Linked DNA regions of Macaca fascicularis. The protein of the gene in region 5 interacts with the protein of the main gene of each other region in a pairwise test. Links are inferred from orthologs where the notes say so. Each region holds a gene or a part of one and is shown on either strand. Other genes may lie near its edges. The genes, in order: FOXM1, CEP76, CAMK2D, FHL5, BANP, LENG1 and MRRF.

Region 1 (4,147 bases), on a different chromosome or scaffold from region 5:
GGCTAAAATTACAGCAGACAGAAGCAATTCAAAGGGTAAAAATGGGACTGGGCTGGAGATAGACAAAGATCTCCTTCTTGAAGCTTCAAAATATTTAGCTACAGAAGTGGATGGGATAGCTACAAATATGTGGAAATCTCTATAATTGCCTACTATAATATAAATAGATCACTTGCAATGACTGTATGGACAGGAATGGAAGATGCTAGAATAGGAAAGCATATGGTAGTTAGGAGTCCTGACAAAACTCTGATCCCATAATCCATTCTAAGATAAAGCCTTTTAATTTTTTTTTTTTTTTTTTTTTTTTTGAGACAGAGTCTCACTCTGTCACCCAGGCTGGAGTGCAGTGGCACAATCTCAGTTCACTGCAATTTCTGCTGCCTGGGTTTAAGCGATTCCCATGCCTCAGCCTCCTGAGTAGCTGGGATTACAGGCGCCTGCCACCACACCCGGTTAATTTTTGTATTTTTAGTAGAGACAGGGTTTCATCATGTTGCTCAGGCTGGTCTTGAACTCAGGTGATCCACCTGGCTTGGCCTCCCAAAGTGCTGGGATTACAGGCATGAGTCACCGCAAGTCACCTGGCCAAGCTTTTTAACTTTTATGTTACTTTGTAAATAGGACCAGTGCACACAGAATCAGGGAAGAAAGGCAGATTGTACTATTGCCACACTACTGGAAAAATCATCTCCCAGTTTACAAAACCTCACATAAAATGGAAACCTCTATTGAAGGCCCATGTAAAGCTGTGCAGCTTGTTCACTGAACAACTTTAGAGGGTGACATTTATTTCACACGCTATTATACTTGCTATAATTTAAAAAGAATGTGTTCTTTTACAATTCGTACTGTATTTATACAGTGGCATTTTAGTACTTGCATGTGGTTATACATATTTTAACTTTCTAAGCATGCCACTTTATTAATTTCTTTTCCAGAAATAAGACTGTAACCCCTGTCTCCTTACCACCAGAATGAGCTATCATCAATACACTAAGGTGGTTCTGAAATGCTAACAGCATAGTCTTTTTTTTTCTTTTTAAGTCTTTTGTTGATTTTTTTAATTTTTTTTTTTTTTTTTGAGAGGAAGTTTCGCTCTTGTCACCCAGGCAAGACCAATGGCGCGATCTCAACTCACTGCAACCTCCGCCTCCGGGGTTGAAGCGATTCTTCTGCCTCAGCCTCCCGAGTAGCTGCAATTACAGGCGCCCACCACCACGCCAGGCTAATTTTTATCTATTTATTTATTTTTAGTAGAAACAGGGTTTCACCATGTTTACCAGGCTGGTCTTGAACTCCTCAGATGATCCACCCGCCTCGGCCACCCAAAGTGCTGGGATTACAGGCGTGAGCCACTGCACCCAGCCTTTTGTTGATTTTAATAGATACATGGAATACTCTACCATTAAGCAAAATTGTATAATTCTATTTCATGGAACTTTGGGAGACAGAGGAATTGGCTGTCTCTTTTTTAGGACACTTATTCTCTCCCTGAAAAGCAACTGTAATTTTTTGACATTTGTCATCTGCAGAGTTCACAGGCCCGCCACACCTCTACCTCCAAATCTCAGTTTTACTTTCTTTTTTTTTTTTTTTTTTTTTTTTTTTTGAGACGGAGTCTCGCTCTGTCGCCCAGGCTGGAGTACAGTGGCCGGATCTCAGCTCACTGCAAGCTCCGCCTCCCGGGTTCACGCCATTCTCCTGCCTCAGCCTCCCGAGTAGCTGGGACTACAGGCGCCCGCCACCTCGCCCGGCTAGTTTTTTGTATTTTTTAGTAGAGACGGGGTTTCACCGTGTTAGCCAGGATGGTCTCGATCTCCTGACCTCGTGATCCGCCCGTCTCGGCCTCCCAAAGTGCTGGGATTACAGGCGTGAGCCACCGCGCCCGGCCAGTTTTACTTTCACTTCAGATCTTTCCAGGCTTCCCTCTCTCCCCGCATCGATCAGTAGATATTATTCCTCTTTTTCCACAGGATATCTAGGTCTTAATTTTTTCTTCTACTTTCTGACCAGCCTGATATTATTATTGCCAACACTTTCTTGCCCGGGAAACTTCCAGAGTGGTCCTCTGAGCCATCTCCATCCTGAGCGGGGAAATCTTGCTACATTCTCAGGACCCAGGAGAAGGGCCCTGCAAATGGGTAAGACGGAGGCAGTGCTGCCTAGTGGTGAGAGCCTGGGAGCAGGGGAGTATGTGTGCAGGTTGGTCTTTGACTCAACGTAGTACAATTGTGCTCAGTGTTCATCTCAGCCGCAGCCGGCCTAAGAAAGGCCACCCCAGCCCTCCCGAGGCCGTGGGCAGCGTGCAGAGGTCAGACTTCCAGGGAAGGCCAAGGGGCGCTTTAAGTAATGAGACGGCCCCGGCCAGGAGGTTGGATGCAGAAAACATTTGCACCCGGGCTCAGATTCTTCCCGTGTGGCCCAAACCTCCACTCGTGGCCCGTGCCCTGCTGCCAGACGCCCTGACCTCCGCGCCCGGAGGCCTCGCTCCCCGCCTGTGCCCAGGCCAGGCCCGGGACTCCATTCCTGTATCCCGCTCACCTCCAGACTGCAGTCGCCGCCGCCGTTGGGCCGTGGCTCCGAAGGCGGGCTCCGGGCTCCTCCAACCTGCGGGCCGAGCCAGGGCCCCCGGACGGGGGCTCGCGCCGGACCGGCCGGGTCCCCGGCGGTGCGGGCCGGGTGGGAACCCCGGGGGATCCCGGGAGGGGAGGGGGTCCCTGGCCGGGGCCGGGGGTGGGGTCTGGCACCGGAGCTTTCAGTTTGTTCCGCTGTTTGAAATTGGCGCCGGCGGAGCGTTAAGGTCACGTGACGGAACGTCGCCAATCGGCGCCGGCCTTGTCTCGGCGTTCCGGGCTCGAAGGCTGTGCGATCTGACAGGAGCTGCGGCCCAGTCCGGCCCGGGCTGGTAAGGCGGGCCGCGGGCCGGCTTGCGGGGGAAGAAGTGGCCGTGGGGCCTGGGAGGGGCCGGAGGGGTCCCCGCCGCGTGGGTGGGCGAGCGGAGGGACAGTCTGGGGACGTGCGGAAGCGGCGCGACAGGCCCGGGTCCCTGGGTCCGCTTTCCCTGCCGCCATAGTCACGCCGGGCGACACGCCCCCGCTTCCCCTCGGGCTGCTCTGCTCCCCTCTTCCAAGGTCGGCTTCGGTTGATTTCCTTCCTGGGGAAAATCGTACCCCGTTTTCGTACAGTGAACGATCGTCTGCTCCCCCCGATTAGACTGAGGGTTCTTTGAGGGCTGTGTATTATCTCAGCTTTCTTCCATCTTGAAAAAAATGTCGGCCCCACGAACCCTACCTCTGCGCGAAATCTTCAAGTACTGACCTGTCTTTGGCTCCTCCCAAAGCCAAGCCTTCGGCTATGGTAGACGGTGGTGCTTTCTTTATTTACTTAGTCAACCAGTCTAGTTGAGCACCTGCTCTGTGCCAGGTCCCGCCAGGTCCTGAAGATACAATGGCAGACAAGGTTCTTTCCTTCCCCCGGGCTCACAGTCCAATCGTGGAAAAGGGGCACTGATATTTTAAAAGAATCAAATAGTCCCGGCGCGGTGGCTCACGCCTGTAATCCCAGCACTCCGGGAGGCCGAGGCGGGCGGATTACCTGAGGTCAGGAGTTCGAGACCAACCTGGCGAACATGGTGAAACCCCATCTCTACTACTAATAACAAAAAAAATTAGCCGGGCATGGCGGCACATGCCTGTAGTCCCAGTTACTTGGGAGGCTGAGGCAGGAGAATTACTGGAACCTGGGAGGCGGAGGTTGCAGTGAGCCAAGACTGCACCGCTGCACTCTCCAGCCTGGGCAACAAAGTGAGACTCTGTCTCTAAAAAAATAAAATAAAATAAAATAAAATAAAAGAATCAAATAAACAAATGTGGGCTGGGCATAGTGGCTTACGCCTGTAATCCCAGCACTTTAGGAGGCCGAGGCGGGTGGATCATTTGAGGTCACGAGTTCGAGACCAGCCTGGCCAACATAGCGAAACCACTTCTCTACTAAAAATTAGCCGCGCGTGGTGGTGCATGCCTGTAGTCTCAGCTACTCTGGAGGCTGAGGTGGAAGGATGACCTGAGGCCGAGAGGTGGAGGCTATGGTGAGCCGTGATCACACCACTGCACTCCAGCCTGGGTGACAGAGGAAGACACCGTCT
Region 2 (3,500 bases), on a different chromosome or scaffold from region 5:
CTAACAGGCAAGAAAAGATGAGTACATAAGAAGTGGAAGCATTTGCCTAAGTCAATCATCAATAGTAGCATCTTAGAATGTAAGATACATCATTTTATTATAGCAATATTCTAATATTATCTAAATATATCCCCACAAGCTAAAAAATAAAAAATCGTTAACCAAGTCAATTGAAAGCAAAATTTCAAAAAACACTCTAGAAAAAGTTTTACATTCTAAAGGCAGGATATATCTGTATATCATCTATATATATTTACGTATATTTCATCTATAAAAGCAATATTGTTTTTATAATTAGATTGCTTTATATTGTTGTTCTTTAATTTCATAACTAGTCAAATACAGGAAGCAGCAGCAAGAAACAGGTCTGGCGAATCTAAATTAAATCAGCATTTTATTTACTCTGTGTATGGAAAGAGGTGGCACAAACTAAAAAGGCACCAGTAAAAACTCCAGTTTAATACAGGCTTTGCCATGACTGAGTTGCTGTTTGGCCTTGAAAAGAGCGTTCTCTTCTCTAACCTTCATACTGTTTACAAAAAGAGCCAATGCCTGGCCACTTGACAATCTTATATGGTTACTATGAGACTAAATTACCTTCTATGGTTCAAATCTTACAATGAATTCTCAGAGAGTGGAATTCATTTAAGTAATATTTCGTAAAAGAAAACCCCACGTCCTCGACTTCCTTAGTGCGTCGCAACTTTTTCCTCCTCTTTGATCCTACCATTTCTCTGATTCACTGCCTTACTCCATCCTGAGTCCTCTCTAGTTCCTAATTCCACATGGCAACGAAGAAATGCCTCATTTATATAGACAGCACGGAGCCAGTTTTTAAAACACATATCTGTGTTTATTTATATATGTGTGTATATTTTTTGTCGTTGTTATTGTCGTGAGACCGTCTCACTCCGTCACCCAGGCTGGAGTGCAATGGCGTGATCTCGGCTCACTGCAATCTCTGCCTCCCAGGTTAAACAATTCTCCTGCCTCAGCCTCCTGAGTAGCTGGGATTACAGATGCCCGCCAGCACGCCTGGCTAATTTTTGTATTTTTAGTAGAGACAAGGTTTTGCCATGTTGGCCAGGCTGGTCTTGAACTCCTGACCTCAGGTGATCCACCTGCCTCGGCCTCCCAAAGTGCTGGAATTACGGGCGTGAGCCACTGTGCCCAGCCAGGAAGCCAGTTATATTTTGATTGGTTTCTCCTTGCCCTTGTCCTGATATTGCTGTTACCTTGCCAACCAGTCATTCAATATATAAACAACGCTATCAGAAAGTCAGAAGCCATTTCCCTTATTCCCACCTCTAGTCAACCTCTCATTCCCAAGCTCCCCATCTGGAAACTAAACCACTTTTAGCCTGTTCCAAAATCTAGGGAAAGTAGGGTAAAGCTGGATGGATGCACAGGATCAGAGAAACTTAATATACTACACTATACTTATATGAAAGCATCTATATGAGGCTGAATATATACAAAATATTTGAACTGTTCCTTAGGAGTTACAAAAAATAAGTGACCCTGACCATATAATTTATGTTGGTCTGTAAAAGAGAAAAAATGGGTTTAGGACTCAGGAAAAATGGAGGCAGAGATATATAGTTGAAATGCTTCAGTTAAACATTACTGGTCACTGGCTTAGAGGTCATGGTTATATAGAATTTTTTTTAAAACCCTAACAAAAAAAATATATATGCCCAGAGCCCCCCGGTTCTGCACACAAGAGCTGGATTTACATATAACCTGCAGAGTGTCCAAATGGTTAATTATTTAGCACTAAATATCAAGCAAATACACATTCCAAGTTAAACAAAATGGATTTTCATCTACTTTAAATCAAATATATTCAGAAAGGGTTTAAAACACAATAACAGATTCAACCTGAGAAAGCTGATTTTTCAAAAACCCACAATAATTGAAATTGAAAGTAAAATAAGACATAGATTGATCTTGCCACTCACCTATGCAGTTAAAGAAAATATTACAAAATCAGCATTTTATTTTACAAATACACTTTTATTTTTTGGAATACATTTTACAAATAAATATTAAACGAAATTTACACACGTAACAGTAAATCTCAAATACAGGCATAAAATTATTCTAATATAATTTACAAACCTGTGCAAAAATCTTAACGAGTCGTGAGTTGTGTGAGGGTCGAATTTGCAAATATTCTCTCCACCACTGCTTGGCATATACAAGAAATAATCGCTCTTTCTCTGCAGTTTTCTGACGTTCCAAAGCAAGCTTGAAATTTAAAAAAATATTTTTCAATTTCTATTCATTATCCTTAATTACTACCAAATATGTAACAAATTTATCTACTTCTCTACATCATTACCACCCTAATCTGAGTCATCATCATCTTCTATAAGAGCCTTCTGACTTCCCTGTTTCTACACTTACCCCTAGTCCAAGCCAGTCTCCATACAATAGTCATAAGTCACCTTTTTTTCCTCCCAAGACAGAATTTTTTTTTTTTGGTTGGCGGGATGCAGTCTCGCTCTGGCGCCCAGGCTGGAGTGCAGTGGCGTGATCTCAGTTCACTGCAACCTCTGCCTCCCACATTCAAGCAATTCTTCTGCCTCAGCCTCCTGAATCCCAACACTTTGGGAGGCCAAGGCAGGTGGATCATTTGAGGTAAGGAGTTCAAGACCAGCCTGGCCAACATGGTGAAACCCCGTCTCAACAAAAAATACAAAAACTAGCTGGGGATGGTGATACATGTCTGTAATCCCAGCTACTCAGGAGGCTGAGGCAGGAGAATTGCTTAAAACTGGGAGGAAGAGGTTGCAGTGAGCCGCGTTCATGCCACCTTACTCCACCCTGGGCGATGGAGTGAGACTCTATCTCAACAAAACAAAACAAAACACACTGTCATTCTCTTGTTTAAAACACTTCATTCTCGACCGGGCGTGGTGGCTCACGCCTGTAATCCCAACACTTTGGGAGGCCGAGGAGGGCGGATCAGGAGGTTAGGAGATCGAGACCATCCTGGCTAACACGGTGAAACCCCGTCTCTACTAAAAACAAAAAAAATTAGCCGGGCGTGGTGGCAGGCGCCTGTAGTCCCAGCTATTCGGGAGGTTGAGCCAGGAGAATGGCGTGAACCCGGGAGGCGGAGCTTGCAGTGAGCAGAGATTGCGCCACTGCACTCCAACCTGGGCGACTGAGTGAGACTCTGTCTCAAAAAAAAAAAAAAAACAAAACAAAACAAAAAAAAAACTTCATTCTCCATCACATTGCAAAATACCTGCCCGGCCTATGAACGCTGGCCTGACTATCTCATCTTCTCCTCTCTCTCCAGCCCACTACACTCCAGCCACACGACGCTTTCGTTCCTCCGTAGGGGCTTTTGTTCTAGGCTGTTCTCAATGCTGGAAGCTCAGCCCCAATCTTTGTGTGGGTGGTTACTTCCTGCCGTTCAGACCCTTTCCCTACCTTAGTCACCTGACCTATGATCAGTCACCCAATAACCACTATATCATATCCGCTGT
Region 3 (3,500 bases), on a different chromosome or scaffold from region 5:
TTGGAATATTGTGGATTTTTTCTTTTTGTCTAATCTCCCCCTATTGTTTTGCCAACAGTAATTTAAGTTTGCACGGAACATCCCCGTAGTTGAAGTGTAAACAATGTATAGGAAGGAATATATGATAAGATGATGCATCACATATGCATTACATGTAGGACCTTCACAACTTCATGCACTCAGAAACATGCATGAAGAGGAGGAGAGGACGGCCCAGGGTCACCATCCAGGTGCCTTGAGAACAGAGAATGCAGAAGTGGCACTGTTGATATTTAGCTGAAAGGAGAAAGGGAGAGGAAGAAATAAATTATATTGTTTTACAAAATATCATCAAATTGCTTTGCCATAGATTTGACTATGCTACAGTTTTATAACTTGGCTAACAAATAGATTGAGAACACTATGTATAAGAGATGTTTGCTTGTGATCATTACAGGAAGAAACACACAATGTTACACAAAGACAGTATTAAAATAGAAAATGAGTATTAATTATTTTTTCACACAAAGCTAAGCTAAAAATAAAGAGACAGGGACCCAGGCTTCAGTCACGTTATTAAATCTAAGTATACATCTTAAGCATTCCTGTTTACTGGACAAATTAGTAAATGAATATAATCTTTTTGCTGAAATAGACTTAAAATTCAAGTTCATCCTTAGTTTTTGTTATTATTATTAGATTCCTTGGGAAATTAAACCTAGAAGTCAATTTAACAAGGAATATAGTCTCAAAAGTAGAGAGAACATGATTACTCTCTTTAATTGGAGCTCTCCTTTGCTGAAAGCAACAGCTGGGAGCACTATTTGTTAAAAGCTCTGATAAGGTTTAGTTCTCTGAATGAGGCAAATATTCACAACAGCACCATACATATCTGAATACTTGTAACCCAAGTCTAAGAAACAACTAATTAAAAACAACAATAAAAGCATGAAGTTAATTACAGTCAACTTTCAATTATCCTCTGGAATTACCCACTTTGTGAGTTTTAAATTTCAGCTTGACTCCTCCTGTGGCCTGTGCTCATGGTCAAGCACCATTATACTCAGTCAGGCACAGCAAATTGATTTACACATTCACCATAGCCAGCTGCTTATAGAATTGCAACCTCTTGAAAGAATGGTTAAGACACCAGAGGATTCTAAAGCTTAATATAAATTAAGTAAGGATAATTGAGAGTTATCTGAACTGACCTAGACATAATTTACTTTTGATGTGAAAACTTCAGGATTCTAACATGACATAATCCACATGTTGGAAAAAATTCATTTCAATGTTTATTACCTTTAAAATAAGGATTATGCTACCAAATAGGGCTGAATGTTAGATTCAAAAGCTCATGCAAAATTGCTATGAATTTTCAAAGACCGTGTATGTTTTTCATTGAATATTATGCAAGAAAAAATATCCTCAAAAGGAAGGAAAACAGCCATGCAGCTTTTCATTCAGCTCCAATCACAAAGTATCACGGAGCAGGATGTTACTTACAAGACCCATATGTGAATGATTTTCAGGCCTTAGATGTTTTGCCACAAAGAGGTGCCTCCTGAGAAGTTTTCTTTCCCATTTGGAATACAGGGTGGCCTATTAAGAGAAGCCCCATTTAAGCCACCTGGCATAAAATGAAGTTTTCTTGAATAGGCTTCATCCCATAAACACTTCAGGGAATTGTAAAAAAACCTAACCCTCTGGTACTGTATGAATGTAACCCCTTCTATATTAACTGGTGATTTGTGCTGTACCTCTTTGGGGTAAAAAACACACAAAAACAGGTGTCTTCATTATCTTCATATTCCTCTTGTGTTTTTCTCTTAATTACATAGCTATGGTTTTGGGAATAAATTTCAGCCTATCGTTTGGTTTTGTTTTTTTTTTTGTCCCTGTTGACCCACTTTTTACAAATCCAACAGTGATATATAAGTAGTAAGTCTATACAGAAGGCCTCTGAAAACCACTGTGGTATGTTATCAAACTAAGAAATCATGATGGATTCTCTGGAGTGAGTTGAATGGCTGTTTGTATGAACCCCCATTCCAAATCCCAAATATTAACAGGTGATCCTGGTGAGATAATTCGGAAAGAGATCAACAGTGGACCAATCTTCTACACTGAGTTTAAACGCTTCTTGTTTTCTTATCACTCCACTTTACTAATAAACCTATTTTCAATTATTCCTCTTTACTCTAGTTGTAACCGGCATTCCTTACCAATAATGTTCTCTCATATTAAACTAAATCCTGATATTGTACTTTTCTTCACGATGCTCCTTTAGCCTGGACTATTCTCCTTTGTTTTTTCTATCTTTCTATGTCTCTAAATTCTACTCATCATTTAAGATTTTGTCCAAAATTCTATCTTATACACAAAGTGTACTTCCAAACTGTTATAAACAGTTTACTACACTGTTCATGAATTTTACTGTATTCTTAAGTTGATGATAAAGTTTATTATATCATTTTTTTCTTTAGAATCAATGATTGACTAAATGAGAATGCATGTTCCTTGAAAGCAATATCTTTTACCTTGTGTTGAATCTGGCGCAGGTTAAGCACCTAGGAGATTCACAATAAATATGTGCCTAATCGCTGACTGGAAAAGCAAATGATATCTGAGGTAGAGTGGTGAGGTGAGAACGACATTGCACTACCTGACAATGGCCTTTTAAAAGGGTCTCTGTAACTGAGCTTTAGGGGATCGTCCATGAAATGAAACTCCTGATAATATATTGGCCATTTTAGAAACTCCACCCTATGCTTTCCTCTGATATCCCCTTCTGTCAATTGAGAAAATGAAGTCACAAATATTTTGCCTTATTATACAAATCCCCTAGATTTAACACTGTGAGATTTTGATATGGTAGTCTCTAGTCCTATCCAAACCTATTGTATACTGCTCTATAGCAAGTTTCAACCCACAGATGGCTGATCTGATTGATCTTTCCAGAGAATCATAAACCTTTCCCGTGAAGTCATTTATTTTCATCAGTGTAACCAACTACTAGCATTAAATAACATATACCACGCTATTAACAATGGAATAAGTAGAAGAAGCTGACCATGGGTGTATTAACAAAGAAGCTGACAGCCTGGGAATATTTACTTGATGGGTACTGTTGGTGACCCCGAGCGATGAAAATGAACATTCTGCCACTTTCCATCCCGACGGTGCCACACACGAGTCTCTTCTGACTGCATTGTCTTTGGCATTCCACTGCCATCCATGTACTGTGTGAGCCTAATATACGCTATGCAGGCGGCATCATCCCCTACCAGGTGTACATGAGGGTTTAGAATAATAGTGTGGATTGGTTTATTGCTTTTGGACAAAGCTGAAAGAGAAAAACATGAAAAGCAAAATTTAGTTTCTATGTAAAGGAAACTAAAACCAGTAATAACTTCAGTTAGGACCAATACATGAAATGCCATTTATTCAGTCAGTAATTAATTAGTTAATTAATCTACTATTTATACTAATCTGGTACTGGGCACTGTACAAAGCAAGGA
Region 4 (4,174 bases), on a different chromosome or scaffold from region 5:
ATGCGATAATTTGTTGTATACATGTATACAAACATCACATTGTACCCCATAGATATGTACAGTTATATGTCTATAGTAATAATAAAAGCAAAAAAGAAAAAAGAAGAAAATTCTTAGAAGTCATGTGACTTATGACATGTTACTTAAATTGTTTTATGAACAATTGTAAGAAATAATTAAACAGAATCAAACTGGAAAACAAGCCCCAGAAGCATATTTCTCCACTCCACTTCCACACCACCATCTTTAGAGGATTACAATTGCAATGAAATTGTAAAAATACAAAAAGGTATATTTTTAAATGTGAGGAGACAACCTGAATTTATCAAAATAATCTACTCAGGATCCATTTGGTAAATACTCCTTTGACAAAATGAATATGCAAAGGAATAGCTCAAAGCTTTGCTAAAAATCAAGTGAGATAAATTTAAGGTCCATTGGTGCTGGAAATGCAACCGAAGAATTTGAGAAGAAAAAAAATAAAAATGACTACTGTTATTATTATTCTAATATAAAATTCTGTAATACAGCTGTTTTAATTATATCTTTAAGGTAGGGAGGCAAACTCACCTGCTCTCATTCATAGAAAACTCAGCATGAATGACACTTCAAAACCTTGACTGTCTTCTCCACATCACACTATTGCTTTCAAACAGACTCTCTATCTTTATTTATTTAATGAATGTAAACCTTGCTGTTGACATACCCTAGTATGTTCTAATCAGGGTAATTAGCCCGTGTGAAAGTTTAGACATATAGTAAAGATAAGGTAAATCCAAACCCATAAGAATGCTTTACTAGTTCATATAAAATACTAGGGTATATCATCAATAAGCTTATTATTTATTTTTATTTTAAATAGAGTCTCCCTATGTTGCCCCAACTGGTCTTGAACCCCTGGGCTCTAGTGATCCCCACGACTTTGGCCTCCCAAAGCTAGGATTACAGAAGTGAGCCACCATGCCTGGCCTCAAGCTGATTATTTTGCAGGGATTTGAGGCATGTTGGGCAAAAAGGAGTCCTCCTTCTCCTCCTCTTCCTCTACCTCTTTCTTCTCTTCCTCTTCTTCAGTGAGCTTTCAAGGGTACCAAAAAGCAACCAAGAAAAATGATGGTAATTGGAGAGGAAAAAGATAATTACGAGAACAGGGAAATGCAAGCTGGTTTAACTAATATCTGATTCAGAGCTTCCCATGCGGACCCAAGTATTCAGCTTTCATTTCTAAAGAGATCATATCCCCTCAATTGAAAACATAAAAATAAAAACAAATTAAAGCATCTCTAAATATTCTAAACTCTTATTTGTAATATTTTAGTAGAAAAGTACCCAGTCTTGTGTAATAAATACAAATTAATTCAGCTTTACTCAAAATGTTGGCAAGTGTAATGAAAATAAGAGGTAAATTTGTCAGTGAGGTGGTGTTATATTAAAACACAAATCTGCTACTCTTGCTTAGGTAGAACAGTCCCAGATTTGGCAACTAATGATAATGTGAGAATAAATAGAACAAGTGTAGAAAACAGACACCACAGTTTACCTTCCCCTTAAAGCAATTTGGATTATGGCTTTAAGCATATATCATAACACATATGTTAAGAAATATCTTGTATGATACATATGTTTGCAATACTTATGTTAAATTTTAATCCATATGCTTTGCTAATAAAAATGCTAGTATTTACACATGATGGTATTGTGGATACGAAATGAGGGCTAAAAGAGCTCAAGGATTTCCTTACATTTTATGTATAAGAGCTATGCATTTTGTTAATAATTCTTTTTAATTTCCAATTTTCTGAAGTCTGAAATGACAGCCGAGGAGCTACATTTGGTTTTCAAATGAATGATAGGTACCAAAGAGGATAGGACTAAAATAGTGAGAGAGAAAGCATTAACACATATGGCGTGTATGCTTTTTGCCTGAATAACACTACCTCTGTTTCAAGAAGTAGCACTTTAAATTGATAGAGTCTATTATATATTTCTGTGGGCTGGAAACACAGATATTTTAATTTAACCTTAGGAAACCTAAGATTATGAATTTTTGTATGCCCACTTCTGGAAAGTAGGCAGATTTTTCTTGAAAATAGCAGGAATCTCATTAACTCCTTTTACTTAAAACCTGTAAGTGACTTCAAAATGTGCTCTTGAAATATAAATCTAGTCATAAAATATGCTAAGTGATAATATTATTCATTCAAATAAACGAAGGCAAATAAAATCTCAAGAGCCCTCCTCTTCTTCCTCTTTTTACAACAATAAAGCTGTACCCTGCATTAAAACCATTAGAGAAACTCAAGAGACAATTCCAAGGAGTTATCTGGCACTATGTAACCTCCACACGCAAGTTATGAGAATGATAAATCTGAAAAGCTCAGCATATAAAATTTGATAATCTTTAGCTAAAATGGCCAAGAAACTTCAAAAGGCATACACTTTTGCCAAGCAAAATTTTTCTCTTAAGGAGTTACTGGAAAGTTTATAAAAATTTCTCATCCTTAAAAAAAAAAAATTAGAGAAGTCGAAATACCACAAAACAAAACAAAGGAAACATTTGGGGGAAAGAACTCACTTTGTCTTAAAGCCGCTTCTTCCTGTAATTTAAACAATACAAAAGGAGAATATATGTTGATTATTTTTCCTCCAATCCATATGCGTGTTAACTCCCAAAGGAACAGAAAGTCACCAGCACCATCTGAAGATCCTTTCCAACTGCATGTAGCTTTTTCAACTTTGCGGGAGAAAACAGAAGGGTCCCTGCATTTCCTCCAAGTCTTACACCATGTGCATTACTCCTACTGGGCTGAAAAAGCACTACTTGTCAATTTTTACTTGAAACTATGAGTAACAAATTCTCTGCAGGACATCCTTAAAGGGAAATTCTGCCAGGATTAGCATTCGAAGTATCTGGCTAAGCTCCAAAAAGTTTAAAATACACAACGTTCACACAGACACATACACACTTGAGAAATTTCCACTAACTAGGCTAAATTAAGGGCATATTTATAAAAATAATGCTCTAAAAGCATGATGTATTTTCTGTTTCCTCAATCTGTTTTTGGCTTTGTTTTCTTTGTTTTCTGGTGGTGATCAGAACCTTTCTTTTAGGTTGGAAATGTCTGAACTGCTGAGCTTTTCTTTTGGACTGTCTGGAAAGAGATGAGGCCCCATGCTCTTACCTGCAAAGCTATTGGTACCTTGAGAGATGACCCCCTGGGTTGTGGCCTCTATCACTGCCTTCTTGGGAAATTGGGGAAATCTGAGACATAAGTTTGAGTAGAGTACTCAAGGTAGTTCCCTGCTCTCTGGACTTGCAGTGTAGGCCCAGCCTTTCCTGCTCTGCCTGCTTCCTGGTGAGCTGGCCACAATTGTGACATCACATCCATGGCTGTATGACTTCATAAAGCATAAACTCATTGGGTTTTTTGAAATCTTCGAAACACAAAAAGTAGACAGCGATGTCAAGAGTTGGATCTGAAGAAAGTTTTGGATATTAAACCAATCCACAATAAGTATTCTCAGAGGGGCACACTGATTCATAAAGCAAGTGACATTTTCTCTTAGAATCTCCATTTGAGGCCATTTCTTCAGTTTGGAAGGCAGGATGAGAGAAGAAATTCTGCCTTAATTCCAGACCAAACTTAAACTGTCCTTGTTCTAAGTGCTAAAGGAGTGAAATGTTAGTATCTTCTAAGGTCAAACTCGGGTATATACAGTCAAAGAACTTGAGCTAGGGAAACGCAGAGCCAGTTAACTGTGTGTTTTGTTATTCACTTGACTTTACTGATTAAGACATTATGAAAATGAACATATGGTGATTAACAACAATAAATTTGGATTCAGCAAAAGGATATAAGTATATTTCATTAGTAATAGATTTTAATCCTTAGGACACCATTGCTAAGCAGGTACTAGCTGTATTTTCCTTGTTTTATGGGCAAGGAAAGCAGTCTTTGAGATGTAAAAGTGCCTGGGACCATCACCCTCTTCATTTGTTCCCCTGCTTCCTGAGAGGGTAATCTACATTCACCAAGTCATTCCAAATCTACAACATTCTGAGTTTCCTTCTCCCTCCCAACTTATTACAATCTGTCTTTCACTTGAACCACTCCAAAAAAGCTTCATTAAGATCATATACAACCTTGATTAGCAACCCAAAGAGCATGGTCTTTAG
Region 5 (3,500 bases):
CAAAAAAGAAGGTCCGTGCCTTTAAGCCTGTACCCACTAGATGATTCCGCTCAAAACTCTGAAACTTAAAGATGCAGAATTGTCCCACAGTTCTAACAGGAACCTCTCACAGGTCCTAGGCAAAAGCAGTCAAATCTGATCTACCCAGTGGGAAATTATCCAAAGCCAAGGACTACTGTCGGCTCACAAGCAGCACATGGCCCTGCCTTCGGCCTCATGACTCCTCAGAGGCAGGGAGCGCATCAATCATCACCACCTAAGCCTTTGCAGATGAATTCTCACGTAACGAAACTTTTCAAACTCCATGCCCGCAAGTGCCTGTGGTTAGTCAAAGGTTCCCAGGACCTCAGTCAAAGGCTCTTTACTCTCACTGGAAACTGGTCATCACACCAGGCCTGGAAGAACAGAGAGAGACCCTCGCACTTATTACTCTAACTTTTTAGTTTGTTGAGAAGAAAACAAGTCCAGAAAGGTTACGGGACTTCTCTGGGGTCACAGAGCTAGTTTCGTCATAAGGGCAGCAGACAGGCATGCAGTAACTCCAGTAATGACTCCACAGGTAATGGAACAGCAAGTGACATTTATTTTCTTCTTTGTACTTTGCTGCTTTTTGTATGTGTTGCTTTTTATAATTTTGTATGCATTACTTTTAGAATTAAAATAACTCCTTGTTCATTTTTAAAATATCACCATCAAGCTGGGTGCAGTGGCTCACGCCTATAATCCCAGCACTTTGGGAGGCCGAGGTGAGTAGATCACCTGAGGTCAGGAGTTCGAGACCAGCCTGGCCAACATGGTGAAACCCCTGTCTCTACTGAAAATAGAAAAATTAGCCGGTCATGGTGGCAGGCGCCTGTAATCCCAGCTACTCGGGAGGCTGAGGCAGGAGAATCGCTTGAATCCAGGAGACAGAGGTTGCAGTGAGTCAAGATCATGCCACTGTACTCCAGCCTGGCGACAGAGCAAAACTCTGTCTTAAATAAACAAATAAATAAATAAAGACATCACAATCAATCAACTGCAATGACAGGCCTTATGCAAGTCACAATTTTTGCATTCAGACAGGTAGAGTTAGCACAAGCCATGGTCGGTACACATCAAGTCAGATGATCCTAGAAGTCTTTCTTTTAAATAAAAATAAGGAGAAATTGGAAAGACATACACATCAACAATTTAAAAGCTGCTACAACCAGTAGGATTGTAGAAAATTTTTATTTCTTCTACTTTCTTGACTATCCTGTTAAACTTTATTAGATGTATACTTTTGAGATGAGGAAAGTACTTTAAACCCACAATGAATGCAAACATGCGTGACACACCAAGGTACCTGCAGCTGTGCACACCTTCTCCTGGGTCCAGACTGCAGGCTTTGTACTGGGCAGGCCAAGGAGCTCTGCGCACAGTAGGCTTTTAACAAATACTCAAGAAATCATAGTTCTCAGGCATTTAAGGAACAGAGATGGAACAAAATCAAGATTCGAAATTATTTCTCTAAGCTTTTTTTGGGCCACGGTCTATAAAGAGAGATTTATTGGGGAAGTAGGCTGTCAGAACTTTAATGGTTCTGAAATCACTGGAAATGATGTAACTGGAACAGTTTTCTTTTACAAGATTACAGTGTATGTTTTCTAAAGAAACTGTCATTTGCCTTCTAAACTAGAAACAGGGATTTGTAAAATAATGTGCAGTGATCGTGTGGAAAACTAACCAACAGCACTCCTGAAATGCTGCCTTCATGTTCCCCTGGGACTGCTCACCTCACCCCAAAACTATTTCTATTGCCCTCCCCTTCCAGACTACAACTAGTCTCCACATGTAGTTTTCTCGACTAACAGAGCAAACAGATCATAGGAATGGACATCAGACTTCCTTATGAGAGTTCTGAAAATTCTCTCTTCTGGAGGAATAAATTGTCAGCCTTTCAATTCGAACATTCCTGAAAGAATAACCAGGCAACCGAAACATTCAGTGACTTAGCTGTGGTGGGCTTGTCACTTCAAACTTAACAGAACAATAAAACACATGCCACTTTACAGAAAAAAAAAAGAAGACGACGACGAAGAAGAAATCTCTTTAAAACAGTAAGTGTGGACAAAGTGTTTTCACAGATGAAGAGGTGAAGTTCCTGAAATTTAAGGTTTCATTTCTCAAGGGTCTCCTTTAAACAAGTTTATTATTTCAAAGTAGACATGTGCCTTTAACATCATTTTTTAAAATTACCAGCCTTAGCAAAGGTGTAGAAAAAAACGTGTTCTCAAGCACTGTGAGTGGAAGAATTAGTAAAACATTTCTAGAGAACCTCTCAGTGTCTTAACAAAATTTTAAACACACATAGCAATTTTCCTTCTGGGAACTTCTCTATTTGCCAAGATACATATGCAAGGATCTTCCCTATAGGGTTGTGTATAAAGGAAAAATCAGACAGACTATGCCAGGAGCCCCTGAAGGAAAAAGTCAACTGTGGAGGGGGCACCTGTGAATGAATTCTGCGGAGTTGCTAACAGAGCTGACTTTTCACACACAACATGGTAAGGATCCACGACGCCACACACAGGGGATTACACATATATCATGGTAAGGATCCATGACGCCACACACAGGGGATTACACATATATCATGGTAAGGATCCACGACGCCACACACAGGGGATTACACACACAACATGGTAAGGATCCACGACGCCACACACAGGGGATTACACACACAACATGGTAAGGATCCACGACGCCACACACAGGGGATTACACACACAACATGGTAAGGATCCACGACGCCACACACAGGGGATTACACACACAACATGGTAAGGATCCACGACGCCACACACAGGGATGGGGCAGGGGAGAGGGTGTAGAACACACACACACACCCGAGCAGCAGGAGCAGAGACAGCCCTCGAGACAAAGTGTGACAGGGGCCCCCTCCAGAAGGAACATGGGGCTGAGGCTGCAGGGGCGAGGGAAGGGAGGGGCCGACAATGTTCACATCTCTAGGATTCAAACTTTTTCATATACAGCATGCATTACTTTCACTTCTGCTTAAAGAAAAGAAAATAACTGCAGCAGCTTTTGGTTTTTCAAGAGTAATGAGAATAATATTTCACCTACTGTCCCACAGCTCTGTACCTGGGTGGTCAGGGCTCAGGTCTTCCACTGCAATCTGAACCACATCCGCCAGGTCGTGTTCAGACATCATCCAGAGCACAGGAGAGTGGCCGGTCAACACGCAAGAGTTCCACTCGAAGAGGGGCTGGCTTTTGGTCACCTACCAAACAGAAGCAAAGGAGGAGGAGAGGACATTAACCATCGCCACATGTGAAATGATGAAAACCACGAGCCGTGCACATGTATGCAAGAGGCCGAGAATGTCTGTGGATTTTTACATGCAGGGTTCTTCTTGCCTCAAACCACCAAAAGGTAAGTTTCTTTGAAAATTAACAAATAGTTGAAAACGCCACCCGCTGCCTCATTCCTTAACCACTGGACAAGTCACCCAGGGC
Region 6 (3,953 bases), on a different chromosome or scaffold from region 5:
GGGGTAGCTGGTACCAAGGGGGTTGAGTCTGTGCCTCCGCTGCACTCTGGCCCAGGTATGTCAGGATGCCCAGAGCTTTCTCTTGCCTCTCCTGAGGGGGCCAGGAAATACAAGAGATGGGATATAATCTTTCAAGGTGTCAGGTGTGTCTCCCTGACATAGGAATCTAAGCAAACAGGTACCTAAGGCTTGTCATGAACCAGTTGTACCAGGTGCTGGGGATGGAAGACACCAACAGAGGCCAAGTTCCCCCTGGGGGGACAGTGGCAGGTAACAGCAGGGGAAGGAGGGGACAAGTGGAGCCACTTGAGTGTTCAGAGGCAGGCATCTTTGCAGAGAGACTTGAAGAGAAGCCTGAAGGGATCAAGCAAAGCAGAGGAGCCATGGGTGGGGTCAACAAGTCCAGAGACAGCAGGTGAGTGACAAGAGCTCATGTACCTGTTTTTTTTTGAGATGCAGTCTCGCTCTGTTGCCCAGGCTCGAGTGTAGTGGCACCATCTCGGCTCACTGCAACCTCTGCCTCCCAGGTTCAAGCAATCCTCCTGCCTCAGCCCCCCTAGTAGCTGGGATTACAGGCACGCACCACCATGCCCGGCTAATTTTTGTATTTTTAGTACAGACGGGGTTTTGCCATGTTTGGCCAGGCTGGTCTTGAACTCCTGACCTCAGGTGATCCATCCACCTTGGCCTCCCAATGTGCTGGGATTACAGGTGTGAGCCACCATGCACGACCAGACATACTTTTTACACTTGATCTTAGCCAAAAGGCAAGAGGCGAATGATTCGCCTTTTTTTTTTTTTTTCTTTTTTTTTTTGAGATGGGGTCTCGCTCTGTCACCCGGGCTGGAGTGCAGTGGCGCAATCTCAGCTCACTGCAACTTCCACCTCCCAGGTCAAGCGATTCTCCTGCTTCAGCCTTCAAGTAGCTGGATTACAGGCGTGCACCACCACACTTGGCTTATTTTTTTGTATTCTTAGAGATACCATGTTGACCAGGCTGGTCTTGAACTCCTGACCTCAGGTGATCCACCTGCCTCAGCCTCCCAAAGTGCTGGGATTACAGGCATGAGCCACAGCTGGCTGATTTACATTTTTAAAAGCCTATCAAGGTTTCAGACCCCTCCAGTTTTGAGAACTGAGCAGTTTGCCTGGCAGCTGGGGACCTCTAGCATCTACCTCCAAGCCCTGTGGGTGCCCAGATGGCAACACTTCTTAAGTGTCATGCTTTGGTATGGTTCTAAATTCTGTGTGTTCGTTCTCGTTTGACCTTGATCACAAGCAGTGGCTAAAGTGCCCTCTCCCCCCAACTCGATTCATGGCTCCTCTAATGAAGTGGGTGAGGCCAGCTTACTTTCTCCTGTCGCTTTTCTTCCTCGTACTCTTTATTGCCTCTGATCACTCCTTTCCCTTCCTCCAGCAGCTCCCGAAACAGGTCCACAGGGCCAGAACTTGGGGCTCCCGCCTCTGCTGCTTCAAGCTCAGGCAGTGAGTTCTGATGTCTGGCTTTCTTTCGTAGGAATTCTGTACGGGCCTGGGGAGAAAGTTATAGGCAGGGCATTCAGAACCTAGAGGTGATTCAAGAACTGTGAGTCTGGTGCCCACCACAGAAAATGGCAGTCCAGGGTGCTGGGGTTATAAGAAAGGGAGCACTAGACGCTTAAAAGAGGCACCTGTCCTAGCTGGGGGTGAGGGTAGGCAGATGAGGCAACGCCTGGGTTTTGTAAACTGCCTTTCAAATCGTAAACCACGGGTCATCAAGGATGGCTGGAAGGAGGTCCCTGGCCTAAACCAAAGGGGTTCCTAACCTCAAGTGAGACAATTAAAACAGCCATAAAGGTAGACCAAACTGCATTAGGCCAGACGATCTGAATTCTAGCCATGGCTCCAAGTCACTACCCCAAGTCGACTGCTGAAGCCCTGTCCCCCGCCTTCAGGACGCAGATTTCAAACAGCGCTCAGCAGCCTACTGAGATTCTAAAAACCCAGACTACCTCCCACCCACTGTGGAGGATCAGACTAGCTAAGGAACTGAAAGTTGGGTGTACACCAAACAGATTTAAGGAGCCATACAGAAAGCCCGTGTTTGTGTGTATGTGTCTAGGGGGCGGTGCAGGAAAGGGCTCGCCCGATGGCGTGGAGCCTGGCTGTCCCCCTCTCCTTAAATGTGCCTTCCCCTCACTGAAGCCATCTCACTCCGTGCAACGGAGATGACAGTGCCCCTCTAAGAACGAACAGTGCCTCCTGGGGATTCCGCAAGTCAGGCGCTCTGCATGTAGTTAGCATACAATAGGTGCTCAATAAATAAACTGCGCAGGCAAACTAAAAAGTGATCCGAATTTCCTTGAACTGTCCAAGCGCTCATGTATTCATTAAATGTTTTTAAGCTGCTCTTTTGTGCTAGACACTGTTCCAGCCATGTGAAATACATCAGTGGGGGGAAACTAAGACGAAGGCGAGATCAAGGGAGGTTTCGTGGAAGTGGCCACAAGGTTTGCAGAGCAACGTCCTCGAAAACGGGATCGGCGCCTGGTCCCGAATTTCACACGGGGCACACTGAGCCTGCGCAACGCTTCCGCTTCCGGCCCCCAACCGCGGCGCGTGCGCGCTGGGCTCCGGCGGTCAGCCCGGCCGGCCTCCGAGCTTACCTCTTGCTGAGCCAGCAGCGCCCTCCGCTCACGCTCCTTCTCCTCCTCCCGGGCCTGGGCCTCGTCACGCCGCACGCGGGCGACATTGTCCTTGTTCCGGACGTGCCAGCTCTTCTTGGGCAAGATATTCATGGCGTCGTAGCTGTCCAGGGACTGGCACGCCCGCCTCTTTGCACTTCCGATTGGCGAGAGGATGCCCCCCTTCCTCTTGTCCCTACTTCGACCGCAGATTGGTTCCGAATTAGTTGGTACGGCCCCCTGGCCTGTAACGACAGGTGATTGGCTGAGACGTCCTTTTCACAGCGAATGTTAGGCGTTCGGCTCGTGGTATCCCCTAGCAACCGCCTCTTATCACAGATCTGAACCAATCATAAGTTGGCCCGCCCCGATGCTACCAGATGCGGCCGTCGATTGGTCGACATGACCGTCAAGTCTCCTTGCGGAAGTGCGCTCCGCACCGACAAACATGCCCATACATTTGATTGGCTCCTGCCCTGCGGTAGCCCTGCCCCCACCTTCAGGACGCAGATTTCAAAGCGCGCTCAGCAACCTCGGCTGTATTTATTGATACAAGAAAGATCACCCGAGAGTCAGGGACGTGGCGGCGAGGGGCCCTGGAAATCTCCAGATACCAAAGCTGGAAGGGCGTGGAGTCTTCTCCAGTTCTCCTAGTTTACAGATGTTGTGACCTAGGCTTACAATGGGCCTGGGGTCTGAAAGTGGGGCGTGAGCTGCGGGGGTCAAAGAGCCGGTTCGGTGGAGGTCAGCGCCACAGCGCGCCGTGCCAGGAAGACTTTATTCTGCGCCTCCTGCGGCAAAGAGAGGTGGAGGTGTGACAGCCCTCTTCCCCAGCCCCTCTCCGTGTTCCCCGGGGGCCCTCTCAGGGACCCGCCTGGCTCACCGTCTCCCTCTGACGTTTGAGCTCAGAGATGAGGCGTCCGTAGGAGTTAGCCCGAGCCACAGTGTACGCCATCAGGATGCTGGAGGAGACAGGAACGGAAGCCACTCCTGACACGCTCTTCGAAGTCAGGGATGTGGACCCCTAAGTCCCTCCTCGTCCAGGCTCAAGGAGTTCAGTCTCCCAGCACCTCCGCGTTCAGATCCAGGAGTCCTAAGTCCCGCCCACCTCCTCCTTCGGACCCAGCAGTCCAGGAGCCTAGGCCTCCTCCCTCAGACTCAGTACATCGCCTGCTCCCACCCCCAAGCCTTTCCTCTCTTGGACGCAGGTGGTGGCCCCCAGATCACACGCATTCAAACCCAGACCCAGAAGTCTGGCCCACCTCACCTGGAGATCAGCAGAAGGGGCGC
Region 7 (3,500 bases), on a different chromosome or scaffold from region 5:
AGTGTTTTATATGCATAGTATAGCAGTTAATAACATAGACTCTGAAGCTGGATTGCCTGAATTCAAATCTTAGGCAGATTTTTGCTTCTGTTTTCTTATCTGTAAAGTGGGAATAATCATAGTACTTCAGGGTTATCATGAGGCTCAAATGAGTTAACGTGTGTAAGCCACTTAGAATAGTTTCTGTCACGTAGTCATTGTTATATAAATGTTAGGTATTGTTGTCATTATTGTTATCTTTTTAAAGCCTCATTAATATCACTATGATGATGATGTGGAAGCTGTAGCTCAGAGAGGCTAAATGACCTCCCCAAGGTCACACAGCTAGTAAGTGGAGGAATTGAGATTCCAGTTCCAGACTGCGTCCAAAGCTCAGACACTTCCCCACATTGCTTCTATGTATAGCTTAATTTTGTTGGCGAATACTTGGGATCTCAACAAATTTTTCTTCAACTTTAATTCTTTTATCTGTGCTGAACAGAATGTTAATTTGTACACCCTTAAGGTAAAGGACCTAAAGGACTGCCTTTATTGAACTTCCACTTTGAAATTTTCTGACTTCTGCGCAATTAAAATCTACGCCTTACGCGTTTCAGCAATGTGGTTTATTTATAGAGTTGTCTTCCGGTTCACGTGTACTGGGTCTGCTTTTGGGTGCTGCGTTTTCTGTCAAAGGTTGTTTATTTCTAACCCATTTTGATTTCCTGTTGCTTTGTGAGTTGGTATTATGACCTGCAACAGGAACACCAGGAAACCTATCTTAAATGGAGCAGCCAGATTGAGATCCTGTAGACTAAAATAAAAAACTACTCATTATTCTACAGCCATATTTGGTTGTAAGTATGAATTAGGCATTGGTTTTATTAGGGAAAAACCTAGATATAGAAACTTCACTCTGAGCCAAACCTCTGTGAACAGTTCTGCTAAAATAGAGCTTGGCTATTAGCTCCATGTCCTTGGACAGTGACTTAATCTCTCTGAACCTCAGTTTCAACGTCTGTAAAATGGGGATTATTATATGTTCTTTGCGGCATTATTGAGAGAATTAAATGAAATAATATGGGTAAAGCAAACAGTCCAAACTTGACCTCAATTAATAGTAGCTATTGATACTAATAAAGAAGAAAAATATTCCTTTTTTCATCAAATCTGTTTTTATAGACTTCATACACTGATCACTAACTTCTAGTATCCCTTACTATTAAAAATTCCATCAAGAGAAGTTATTTGTCTTTGTGCTACTCATTTGCTTTAAAAATAATAGCCATCATTTATTAAGCTGCTATATTCCTGGCACTATGTTAGTTGTTTACATGTATTCATTATTTCATTTTATTTTAAGTTCAAAGTTATTTTTATCATTGATGAGGAAAGTGATGCTCAGAAGAGTAAATTGCCTAAAGTTGAAATTTACATCCAGGTCTAATTGTAGGCTATTTTGTACATCATTATTAACATACAAGGTTTCTTTATTGTGTCTGACCCTGACATAATAGTTTTTGAGACCCGGCATAGTGGCTCACGCCTGTAATCCTAGCAATTTGGGAGGCCAAGGCGGGTGGATTTCCTGAGCTCAGGAGTTCACGACCAGCCTGGGTAACATGGTGAAACCCCGTCTCTACTAAAAATACAAAAAAATTAGCTGGGCATGGTGGTGTGTGCCTGTAATCCCAGCTACTTGGGAGGCTGAGGCATGAGAATTGCTTGAACCCGGGAGGTGGAGGTTGCTGGGAGCCAAGATTGCGCCACTGCACTCCATCCTGGGCAACAGAGTGAGACTCAGTCTCAAAAGATAATAAAGATAATATTTTTTAAAAAGTTTGAAAGAAAAGGTGATAGCTTTCAACAGGTATTATTTTGGGGGGCTTCTGCTGTTTGCTAGGTACTGTGTCAAGGGCTTTACTTGCGTAACCTCATTAATTATTCCCAACCCTAAGAAATGAGTACAATTATTCCCATTTTACAGTTGAAGAAATCAACGATTAGAAATATTCAGGAGTATTTAGTCAGTAATGGAGCTAGGATTGGCTTCCAGGTCTTCCTGACAGCAAAGCCCATGTTATTCATTCCATTATGTTGGATCAAAATTTTAGGATGGGATTTTTTAAAAAACATAAGATGTGGGACTGTTACTCAAAGGAAGCAGCTTCCAGGTATTTGATACTAATTGTTCTTAATTTTTAGCTGAGCCATAGCAACATTACTGGCAGAAGCTATTAATGATATATTTGTCAGTTAGCTAGGGCTGTGTTATATCCTGAGGTAGTTGTAGGCAATGGCATCTTTCCATGGTCAAAGACCTCAGATGTAGAATGCGTAACTTGTGTTAACACAGTAGAGAGTGGCATTTTCCAGAGCTCTAGTTTTATACCATGGAAGACCTCAAACCTCAATCATGCTTTAGACTCACATTAAAGGGCATCCTAATTGGTAATCAGTGCGTAAGGAACCAAAGAAAATTTTAATTAAATGCTGTCGTGTGAATTTTTCCAGTCATTTTATGCCTGTTGAGATGGTTTTCTTATTTAAAGTCCTCTTCTAGTGCTCTGCCTTCTCTCTTTAAACTTTATCAAGATTTTGTGCTTTTCTCATATAAGGGTTTAATTAGAATCATTAAAATTTTAGTCTGCTGCATATTTGCTTAATGGGCATTTTGGTGCAGTGGAAAGAACTTGGGGTTTGGAGTCCAAAGTGGGGAAGTTACTTAAATCTCTGTAAGCCTTAGTTTCTTCATTCTGTAAAATGAGGCAAATAATACTTTCTTCTAGGGCAGTTGGGAAAAGGATTAGAGATAATGTATTTAAATTGTCTAGTACTTAGCTCAGTTTATAGGAATTGCTTGATAATTAGTACGAATTATCTGAAGTTGCAATACGGTCTCTTTTACTTAGATCTGCTTTTTGTCTTATTCTTTTTAGTGGATGTTTCCAAGGATCGTCTTCAGTCATGGCCTTGGGATTAAAGTGCTTCCGCATGTTCCACCCTGCCTTTCGCAATTATCTTGCAGCCTCTATCAAACCCGTTTCAGAAGTTACACTGAAGACAGTGCATGAAAGACAGCATGGCCATAGGCAGTACGTGGCCTATTCAGCTGTACCAGTCCGCCATTTCGCTACCAAGAAAGCCAAAGGTAGAGACATGTGATGTTCTCTCCTACTTCGCCCCTTTCTTAAATTTGGCCCTTGAATTATAGCTGGCAGGTATCTCAGATGTACTGAATTTCTCCCCTTGCTAACATGAGGAAATGGGGCCTCAGCTATTTCATTTCATTAACTTAAAAGGTTACAGTGGCAGAGATGGTGTTACAACCCAGTGCCTGTTTTCTTATTACCATGCTGCCTCATTTGTTTTCTTAGTAGCTCAGAAAATGCCTAATTTCTTTCTTTTAGATTTAGAGTTAGAGGTATAAGTGCCAAGCGAGCCAGAATGCTTGTAGCAGGGATCAATATATTGTCTCCATATAGGAAGATACATGTTGGAAGTATAATTAAGACCAGAAG

The links.
Region 1: the proteins of BANP (region 5) and FOXM1 interact in binary tests that used the Homo sapiens proteins (3 or more experiments, as listed by UniProt). The link is inferred for Macaca fascicularis from reciprocal best matches to the Homo sapiens genes BANP and FOXM1.
Region 2: the proteins of BANP (region 5) and CEP76 interact in binary tests that used the Homo sapiens proteins (3 or more experiments, as listed by UniProt). The two-hybrid records come from large-scale screens. The link is inferred for Macaca fascicularis from reciprocal best matches to the Homo sapiens genes BANP and CEP76.
Region 3: the proteins of BANP (region 5) and CAMK2D interact in binary tests that used the Homo sapiens proteins (3 or more experiments, as listed by UniProt). The two-hybrid records come from large-scale screens. The link is inferred for Macaca fascicularis from reciprocal best matches to the Homo sapiens genes BANP and CAMK2D.
Region 4: the proteins of BANP (region 5) and FHL5 interact in binary tests that used the Homo sapiens proteins (3 or more experiments, as listed by UniProt). The two-hybrid records come from large-scale screens. The link is inferred for Macaca fascicularis from reciprocal best matches to the Homo sapiens genes BANP and FHL5.
Region 6: the proteins of BANP (region 5) and LENG1 interact in binary tests that used the Homo sapiens proteins (3 or more experiments, as listed by UniProt). The two-hybrid records come from large-scale screens. The link is inferred for Macaca fascicularis from reciprocal best matches to the Homo sapiens genes BANP and LENG1.
Region 7: the proteins of BANP (region 5) and MRRF interact in binary tests that used the Homo sapiens proteins (3 or more experiments, as listed by UniProt). The two-hybrid records come from large-scale screens. The link is inferred for Macaca fascicularis from reciprocal best matches to the Homo sapiens genes BANP and MRRF.

What each region holds. Positions count from the first base shown.
Region 1 is NC_088385.1:3,746,744-3,750,890, forward strand, and holds the start of FOXM1 (forkhead box protein M1), read right to left. Parts: upstream 2,801-4,147; 5' UTR 2,545-2,800; intron 1-2,544. UniProt on the Homo sapiens protein: Transcription factor regulating the expression of cell cycle genes essential for DNA replication and mitosis. Plays a role in the control of cell proliferation. Also plays a role in DNA break repair, participating in the DNA damage checkpoint response.
Region 2 is NC_088392.1:80,750,057-80,753,556, forward strand, and holds part of CEP76 (centrosomal protein of 76 kDa), read right to left. Parts: intron 2,251-3,500; coding exon 2,122-2,250; intron 1-2,121. UniProt on the Homo sapiens protein: Centrosomal protein involved in regulation of centriole duplication. Required to limit centriole duplication to once per cell cycle by preventing centriole reduplication.
Region 3 is NC_088379.1:118,990,660-118,994,159, forward strand, and holds part of CAMK2D (calcium/calmodulin-dependent protein kinase type II subunit delta), read right to left. Parts: intron 3,326-3,500; coding exon 3,097-3,325; coding exon of another isoform or gene 3,093-3,096; exon of another isoform or gene 3,053-3,092; intron 1,582-3,052; coding exon 1,515-1,581; 3' UTR 1,486-1,514; intron 277-1,485; coding exon of another isoform or gene 273-276; 3' UTR 1-272. UniProt on the Homo sapiens protein: Calcium/calmodulin-dependent protein kinase involved in the regulation of Ca(2+) homeostatis and excitation-contraction coupling (ECC) in heart by targeting ion channels, transporters and accessory proteins involved in Ca(2+) influx into the myocyte, Ca(2+) release from the sarcoplasmic reticulum (SR), SR Ca(2+) uptake and Na(+) and K(+) channel transport.
Region 4 is NC_088378.1:78,768,504-78,772,677, forward strand, and holds the start of FHL5 (four and a half LIM domains protein 5), read right to left. Parts: upstream 2,801-4,174; 5' UTR 2,573-2,800; intron 1-2,572. UniProt on the Homo sapiens protein: May be involved in the regulation of spermatogenesis. Stimulates CREM transcriptional activity in a phosphorylation-independent manner.
Region 5 is NC_088394.1:83,878,931-83,882,430, reverse strand, and holds part of BANP (protein BANP), read right to left. Parts: intron 3,266-3,500; coding exon 3,109-3,265; intron 1-3,108. UniProt on the Homo sapiens protein: Controls V(D)J recombination during T-cell development by repressing T-cell receptor (TCR) beta enhancer function. Binds to scaffold/matrix attachment region beta (S/MARbeta), an ATC-rich DNA sequence located upstream of the TCR beta enhancer.
Region 6 is NC_088393.1:61,962,034-61,965,986, forward strand, and holds the start of LENG1 (leukocyte receptor cluster member 1), read right to left. Parts: upstream 2,801-3,953; 5' UTR 2,778-2,800; coding exon 2,646-2,777; intron 1,532-2,645; coding exon 1,352-1,531; intron 596-1,351; exon of another isoform or gene 499-595; coding exon of another isoform or gene 439-498; intron 355-438; coding exon of another isoform or gene 193-354; exon of another isoform or gene 183-192; intron 92-182; coding exon 1-91. Other genes in the region: voltage-gated chloride channel TMC4, read right to left, coding at 3,386-3,454, 3,547-3,625, 3,931-3,953.
Region 7 is NC_088389.1:35,718,160-35,721,659, reverse strand, and holds part of MRRF (ribosome-recycling factor, mitochondrial), read left to right. Parts: intron 1-2,918; 5' UTR 2,919-2,946; coding exon 2,947-3,130; intron 3,131-3,500. UniProt on the Homo sapiens protein: Responsible for the disassembly of ribosomes from messenger RNA at the termination of mitochondrial protein biosynthesis. Acts in collaboration with GFM2. Promotes mitochondrial ribosome recycling by dissolution of intersubunit contacts.